2 linked regions of the Rattus norvegicus genome follow. The protein of the gene in region 2 binds, or shares a complex with, the protein of the main gene of each other region. Links are inferred from orthologs where the notes say so. Each region holds a gene or a part of one and is shown on either strand. Other genes may lie near its edges.

Region 1 (3,302 bases), on a different chromosome or scaffold from region 2:
GGGAAGTTTGCTGTATAGTGAGAATGTATCAGTGTTAATATCAGGGTTAGTGTGTATTGCTGGCTGGCCTGGAAACTCACTCTGCAGACCAGGTAACCTGGACCTACAGATACCAGCTGGTCTGCTTCTGGCTCCCAAGAATGGGGATGAAAAGCCTAGGCCACTGTGCCTGACAGAATTTAGTATTTGTGACATAACTTCTGTGCATTTAAAAATGTTTTTTAAAAGTATAATCTAACTATATGAACCCCTGTGCCTCTCTGCCCTCCAGTGCCTCCCATGCACGCCCCACACCCTGTGCGGGAACCCTTGCTCACTGTCTCCAGTCCATGCCATCTTACTGTGTGGCTCTGACTAGCAGTGACATTGCAGTCTGGCTGACTCTTTGGTTGCTTTGGTGAATGGTGAATATTTTGTTTCTTCTTCTGTTGGATTCCTCTTGGCTGTGCCAGGACTGGGGCAGGGCTAACATCCTCCAGAGTTACCTATGGTCTTTCACTCTGTCATGGGTATGCAGCACAGAGTATGTCTGTGGAGGGTGGAAACTTCAATGCTTCCCTTAGTTTATCCTTCCAAGTATTGTTAAAAGCACAGTGAGAGGCATCGGTGTTTGTGTGCATGCGCTTGCATACACGCTTATTATTCCTCATCCAAAGTGCTGAGTTTTAAATGATATTTAATAAAGATTTAGGTTACAGTATTTTTAAAATTAAAGATTTCAATTATATGTGTGTGTGTGTGTGTGTGTGTGTGTGTGTGTGTGTATTATATAACACACACACATATTTTGTGTCCCTGTGCTTCTACTGCATAAACTATGATATCATTTATAGAACTTTTCACTGTGCCATCATGTTGGTGCTTAAAACATTTTGAACTGTGAAACATTTCGCATCTTGTATTGAGAGTTAGGATGTCTATGCTATAATAATATATAGTACGTGTATCACTGACCTAAACTCTTTTCTCTTAGGGAAAGAGCAACCTAGTGGGTCTGGTCAGTTTCAGGGACTTCTTGAAGCAATTTAGGGTCATTTATATCCTTTATTAATGAGCTCTCTATAGAATGGAATATTTCCCTATGGGAGAAAATGGCTACAAACCATATTGGGATTGCCGTTGTGCCTAACTGCACACTATATAGTCTTTATATGTTGGTAGACTGCAGTGTACCGAGGAATGCAGTCTTATTTGATAACCATTACCAAATCTATCGCTGTGGGATGTCCAGAGTTTCTCATTTATAAATAGATGAATATGAGGTTGACTAATGTAGGTTAAACAGTCTGTGTCTTAAAAACATTTTGTTAAAATAGTTCTTAATGTAACAAATACCACACTTACAAATTCTGCTAAACAAATTTAAATGAGAGAAGACTGACAAGACCAACCTTTAAGAATACTGTTTTAGTTTGTTTAAAAGTGATACCATACTCTGAAGGATTTGTCAAACATTGCACTTACATTTTCAGTATTAGTTCATACCATGTTCAACCCTTTTCTGTTATTTAAAAGATTTGGCCTCTTTATTTATAAATAACTTTAATATCACTTAAAATCTTTGTAATTTTTAACTTTGAAAAATAAAACTTAAAGAAAACTTTTTGTCTTCACACAGGTGCTTATGGGAAGGGTTCCAGACAGGGGAGGACGGCCAAATGAAATTGAACCACCACCCCCTGAAATGCCCCCTTGGCAGAAGAGACAAGAAGGCGGAGGGAGGGGTGGCTGGGGAGGTGGAGGGGGTGGTAGAGGAGGTGGTGGGGGAGGAAGAGGTGGATGGGGAGGTGGAGGAGGAGGGTGGGGAGGGGGTGGAGGAGGAGGTGGAGGAGGAGGTGGAGGAGGGTGGGGAGGAAGCGGTGGGGGAGGGGGTGGCCGAGGAGGTTTCCAAGGCAGGGGAGATTATGGTGGGAGGGGAGATTATGGTGGAAGAGGGGGCTATGGTGGGAGAGGGGGTTATGGTGGGAGAGGTTATGGAGATCCGTATGGAGGAGGAGGTGGTGGGGGTGGGTATAGAAGATACTGATACCTGCAGATGTTAGAGAACACTGCTTCCTACTAGATGCAGTAGATATAGTGTTCTGAGGAACATACTTGAACATCACCCTGAGGTAGATCATGTTAGTGCCCCCGAGGAAGGCTTTCCTGAATACAAAAGGCCATTTTATATACTGGGTGATGATCCTGCAACATGATTTTTTTCCATATTCTGTGTACTAAAGCATGCTGTGTCTTTTTAAAAGGCAAAAACAAAACCTATTTTTTAAAATGTAAATATTTATTACCAGCAACTTGGAAAAATGGAATGTATTTTATTGTCATGTTTGAATTTAGACTGTAAACTGGTATTTTGTTCAGGGTTGAAACACATATGACACCTGCCAGTAACAGAAAGGAATCTAGACTCGAGTCGTTTGTATTCTTGGGGATCTGTCCTGTATTGTTAATTCTATTTTACAAAATAGAGGAAGTGTCTAATGTGTGTGTAGTCAGTTGTCCTTTTTAAAATTGGTTGAAATTCCTCTGGTCAGGTTTTTATTAAATTTCTGTTAACTGAAGACATCTTCTTTATTTCACTGTGCACATGACTTATTTGCCAGTTGAGTTTGAACCTATGTGACTGACTGAATGGCTAAGTTAAAGTTGTATGACCTAGAGGTGGTGGGTACCTACAATGAAACTTGTCTGGACACAGCAGGGCAGTTACACACACAAACTCACAGCAGCTGTGACAGCACGCACACAACACATAACTTTGCAAGATCAAGCCAGACAAAATTCTACCCTCTCCCTGAGGGAGACGCTGGGGGAAGCTGAGTCAGGATGTGGGACATGAGTTTACCTATGATCTCTCTAGTAGATGTCCTAAGGCCCATGCACACAGACACAGCACTAAGTAGACTCAGTTAAAAAGCCAGAGGCACATGAAGTTGAGAATAAAAGTGTGCGTGCACATGCATGCGTAGATAGACGACTCTGGCTGGCCTGAGCGCAGCAGGCATGGCTCTGCATGCCTTGCCTTTCTCTCCCATTCCCTCCACCTTGCTAAAAGCTTAAGATTCTGTTCCTGAAGCTTGCTACCAAGGTATGTTTCATTTATTTGGCCACTTCTTCCTCTGAGGCTGACTACGAAGGTCCAGCTATCAAGGTAGTGAAGTCCAGCAATCAAAAGCCCCCTTTGGGTCACCTAATTAACCTGTCCAACTAAAATTAAACACCTCATCCTAACACGGGGTTTCCCCTTTACCTTTATAAAGTGACATTTTCCTATGTGTGACGTCTGTCTTTTCTCTATCTGAGGC
Region 2 (3,827 bases):
TTAACCCTCGAACTCTGGAGACAGAGGCAAGAGATCCATCCATTCCAGGCTGGTTTACATAGTGAATTCCAGGCCGGCCAGGACTACAGCGTTAGACCCCAGCCCAAAGCAAAATGGGTGGAAAGAATTGATATAAACCATGGACGAGGCAAAGGACAGACGAAAAAGGAGGCACTGACGGTCGCCGTGGGGCATGCAGTAGAGCTGTTGAGGTCTGTCTGTCCTGTGGGAACACTCAGTGCACAGCCTGTGGAATTGGCCTTCCTAAACTATTTTTTTTAATTATTTATTAATTATTTTATAAGTACACTGTTGCTGTCTTCAGACACACCAGAAGAGGGCATCGGATCCCCTTACAGATGGTTGTGAGGCACCATGTGGTTGCTGGGAATTGAACTTAGGGCCTCTGGAAGAGCAGTCAGTGCTCTTAACCACTGAGCCATCTCTCCAGCCCCCGGCCTTCCTAAACTATTTAGTGTTCAGAATTGGGCTAGTTAGTCAGGAAAAGTAACTGATGATAGGAAATGTTTACCAAGAGGCCAATATGTAAGACAGCTGACAAGCATCAACTTGGCTGTGTCACCCAGGGCAGCCTTGAACTGGGCTCAAGTGATTATCCAGCTTCAAACTCAAACTGGGATTGCAGGGACCCATTGGTGCGCACAACTTAGATGTTTTAGGATACCTAGAAGGAGCTGGGCATGTGTAACCCTAGCACTTGGGGCAGGAGGACCAGACCAGCCTGGAGTGCACAGGGAGACCCTGTGACTAAAACCAAAGCAAAATGAAACAAAACACGGAAAGCCTCCTGTCGTGGTACTTTCCACAAGTTATCGTCCAACGGGTTGAAAACTACCAGTCTATGGATTCTTGTTTCCTCCCCCAGTTTGTAATAAGTGTACTGGGATAGTAGATGTTTGTGCTGTTGTGTGTGATGTTAACATGGGTTCTCAATGTCATATTGCCTTGCACAGCATGTACTTTTACCTACTAAGCTGTGTGTGTGTGTGTGTGTGTGTGTGTGTGTAAGAAGGGGGATGAGTATATATATTATATATATACATATACACATACATATACATATATACATATACACATACATATACATATACATATACATATATATATATATATATATATATATATATATATGCACCACAGTATACATAGAGAAGTCAAGGGAGTCAATTTTCTCTTTCCACTATGTGGTCCAGTACAAGCTTTAGCCACTGAGCCATCCCCTTGCTGTCCCCCTCAGAGATGGAGTAATATTGCTGGGCCCTGACAGCACACTTCTTCAATCCCAGCACTTGTGAGGCAGAGGCAGGTAGATCTCTGAGTTTAAGTCTAGCTTGATGCACAGAGTGAGTTCCAGGACATCCAGGACTGCACAGAGAAACCCTGACTCAGGAATGAATGAATGAGTGAATGAATATGGGTTGTTACTGTGTATCCAGGTTGTCTTAGTAGCCTAGGCTGGGCTGGAATCTATGCTCTACCTGCCTTAGCCACTTAAGTACTAGGATTATGGTGCGAGCCAGCTAGGATGATGTTCTTAGTGAGTGGCAGGTGAGTAGAGCTCTTTCTGTCTGCTGCCGTCAGTTCTCTAGTGTTATTTCTGTAGGACTTGGAGTCAAGTTCAGTGATTTACACATATTTTCCCCTCTCTCCCTCAGATTTGGATCATACAGCTGATGTCCAGTGAGTATAGCAAGAGTCATTCTTGAAAATGTCTTTAGAATGAATGCTTTAATTTTTTTAATAAAAAATTTAACTATGTTTAAGATTTATCTGATTTTCTTGTGCATGTGGACGTTTTGCCTGTGTGTATATTTGTGTACCATGTGTGTGCCTGAAGCCCAAAGGATCAGAAGAGGTTATCAGGTGTGACTGGAGTTATAAATGGATATAAGCCACCATGTGGGTGCCGAGGCTAGGACCCAATACACTTAGGCACTAAGCCATCTCTCCAGCCCCTATCTTTTCTTATATATTTATTGTTTGTTTGTTTATTTGTAAGTACACTGTATACTGTTGCTCTTCAGACACACCAGAAGAGGGCATTGGATCTCATTCTACAGATGGTTGTGAGCCACTATGTAGGAGCTGGGATTTGAACTCGGGACCTCTGGAAGAGCAGTCAGTGCCCTTAAACACTGAGTCATCTTTCCAGCCCCCCAGCTCTCCATCTTTTCTTTTTTGAGATAGGATCTTACTGTGTAGCCCTGGCTGGCCTGGAATTTGTTCTATAGACCAGGCTAGCCTGAAACTCATAGAGGTACACCTTCCTCTGCCTCCTGAGTGTTGAGATCAAAAGTGTGCCCCCAGCGTATGCTTACATTTTATTTTGTGGGCTGGGTGTGTAAGACATGAGTGCCACCGTGTATGGGCAGAGGTCAGAAGTCAGTTCTTTCCTTCCACCACAGTGTCAGGCTTGATGGCAAGTATCTTCACCTTCTGGCCCGAGTGTATTTCTGTTTTTCTCCTTTTATGTGGTTGTTTTAAATTTGAAATGATGGTTTAAAAAATGTAATTTGGGCATGGTTAAATTAGGCATTTAGTTTATATTTATGAAACTGATTTTCTTTTGCTTCATTGTGGGATTTTTCTGTCTTGTAGTTGTGTGTGTGCAAGGCCCCTTTTATTGGTTTAATTTAAACTCTTTAACTTTAGGTTACATGCATGGGGAGACACCCTGGAGGAAGCATTTGAACAGTGTGCCATGGCCATGTTTGGTTACATGACAGACACCGGGACTGTGGAGCCCCTCCAAACAGTGGAAGTGGAAACCCAAGGTAAGTGCTCTATTCTCAAGGAAAAGTTAAGGCAGGAGAGTACATTATTCTGTATGATCTGAGTATAGAGTGGCCCTCAGTGGATCATGAACGTTGCTAACATCACCTGTCCTGGTCCCTTTGACCCTGTGTAGGAGACGACTTGCAGTCTCTGCTGTTTCACTTTTTGGACGAGTGGCTTTACAGGTTCAGTGCCGATGAGTACTTCATACCCCGGGTAAGCACAGGGTTTTCTTGGGTTTTTTTCCTGAGCAAGTAGACTGTTAGTTCACATTTTAAAAAGGTAAGGCATGGGATCCAAAACCAGTCCATCGAGATATGTGAGGTAATGTTGAATTATATAAATTCCAGGGTTTTTAATAGAATTTTTTCTTACATTCACACCCTCTTTTTTTTTTTTTTCTTTTTCTTTTTTCTTTTTTTTTCGGAGCTGGGGACCGAACCCAGGGCCTTGCGCTTGCTAGGCAAGCGCTCTACCACTGAGCTAAATCCCCAACCCCACATTCACACTCTTTATTTACAAGCTCCCACACATGGAAAAGCCAAATGTTTTCTTTTTAGTTTATAGTTGTTTTGCCTGTATGCATATCTGTGCACCAAGTACATGCAGTGCCGATGAAGGCCAGAAGAGGGCGACATGCCCCTGCTACCAGACTCACAAACAGTTGTGACTCACAGTAGTGCTAGGAATCAATTCTGGGTCCTCTGCAAGAGCAGCCAGTGCTGTTAACTGCTGAGCAGTTTCTCCAGCTCCGTGTAGGTCCTTATTGATTGATTAACCTGTTAGACTAGGTTCGTTCTCTCTCTGTCTCTGTCTCTGTCTCTTTCTCTCTCTCTCTCTTTCTCTCTCTTACTTACATCTCTGGCTGTGAAATGTTGGATATCACTAAGAGGTGGAGAGAATATTTATTGAGCCAGCATGATGGGCACGCTATTTATTATACCACTCGGGAAGCAGAGGCATGAGGAACTCTGAGTTCCAGTCCAGCCCAGTTTGCCAAAAAAAAAGGGGGGGGAGGGGGGAGGAGAGGG

Evidence for each region. The genes of interacting proteins can lie anywhere in the genome.
Region 1: Zbtb8os (region 2) and Fam98b share a complex: the UniProt entries of both Homo sapiens proteins name them as parts of the tRNA-splicing ligase complex. The link is inferred for Rattus norvegicus from reciprocal best matches to the Homo sapiens genes ZBTB8OS and FAM98B.

What each region holds. Positions count from the first base shown.
Region 1 is NC_086021.1:124,615,705-124,619,006, forward strand, and holds the end of Fam98b (protein FAM98B), read left to right. Parts: intron 1-1,618; coding exon 1,619-2,026; 3' UTR 2,027-2,571; downstream 2,572-3,302. UniProt on the Homo sapiens protein: Positively stimulates PRMT1-induced protein arginine dimethylated arginine methylation.
Region 2 is NC_086023.1:146,962,907-146,966,733, forward strand, and holds part of Zbtb8os (protein archease), read left to right. Parts: intron 1-1,676; coding exon 1,677-1,701; intron 1,702-2,673; coding exon 2,674-2,795; intron 2,796-2,929; coding exon 2,930-3,012; intron 3,013-3,827. UniProt on the Homo sapiens protein: Component of the tRNA-splicing ligase complex required to facilitate the enzymatic turnover of catalytic subunit RTCB. Together with DDX1, acts by facilitating the guanylylation of RTCB, a key intermediate step in tRNA ligation.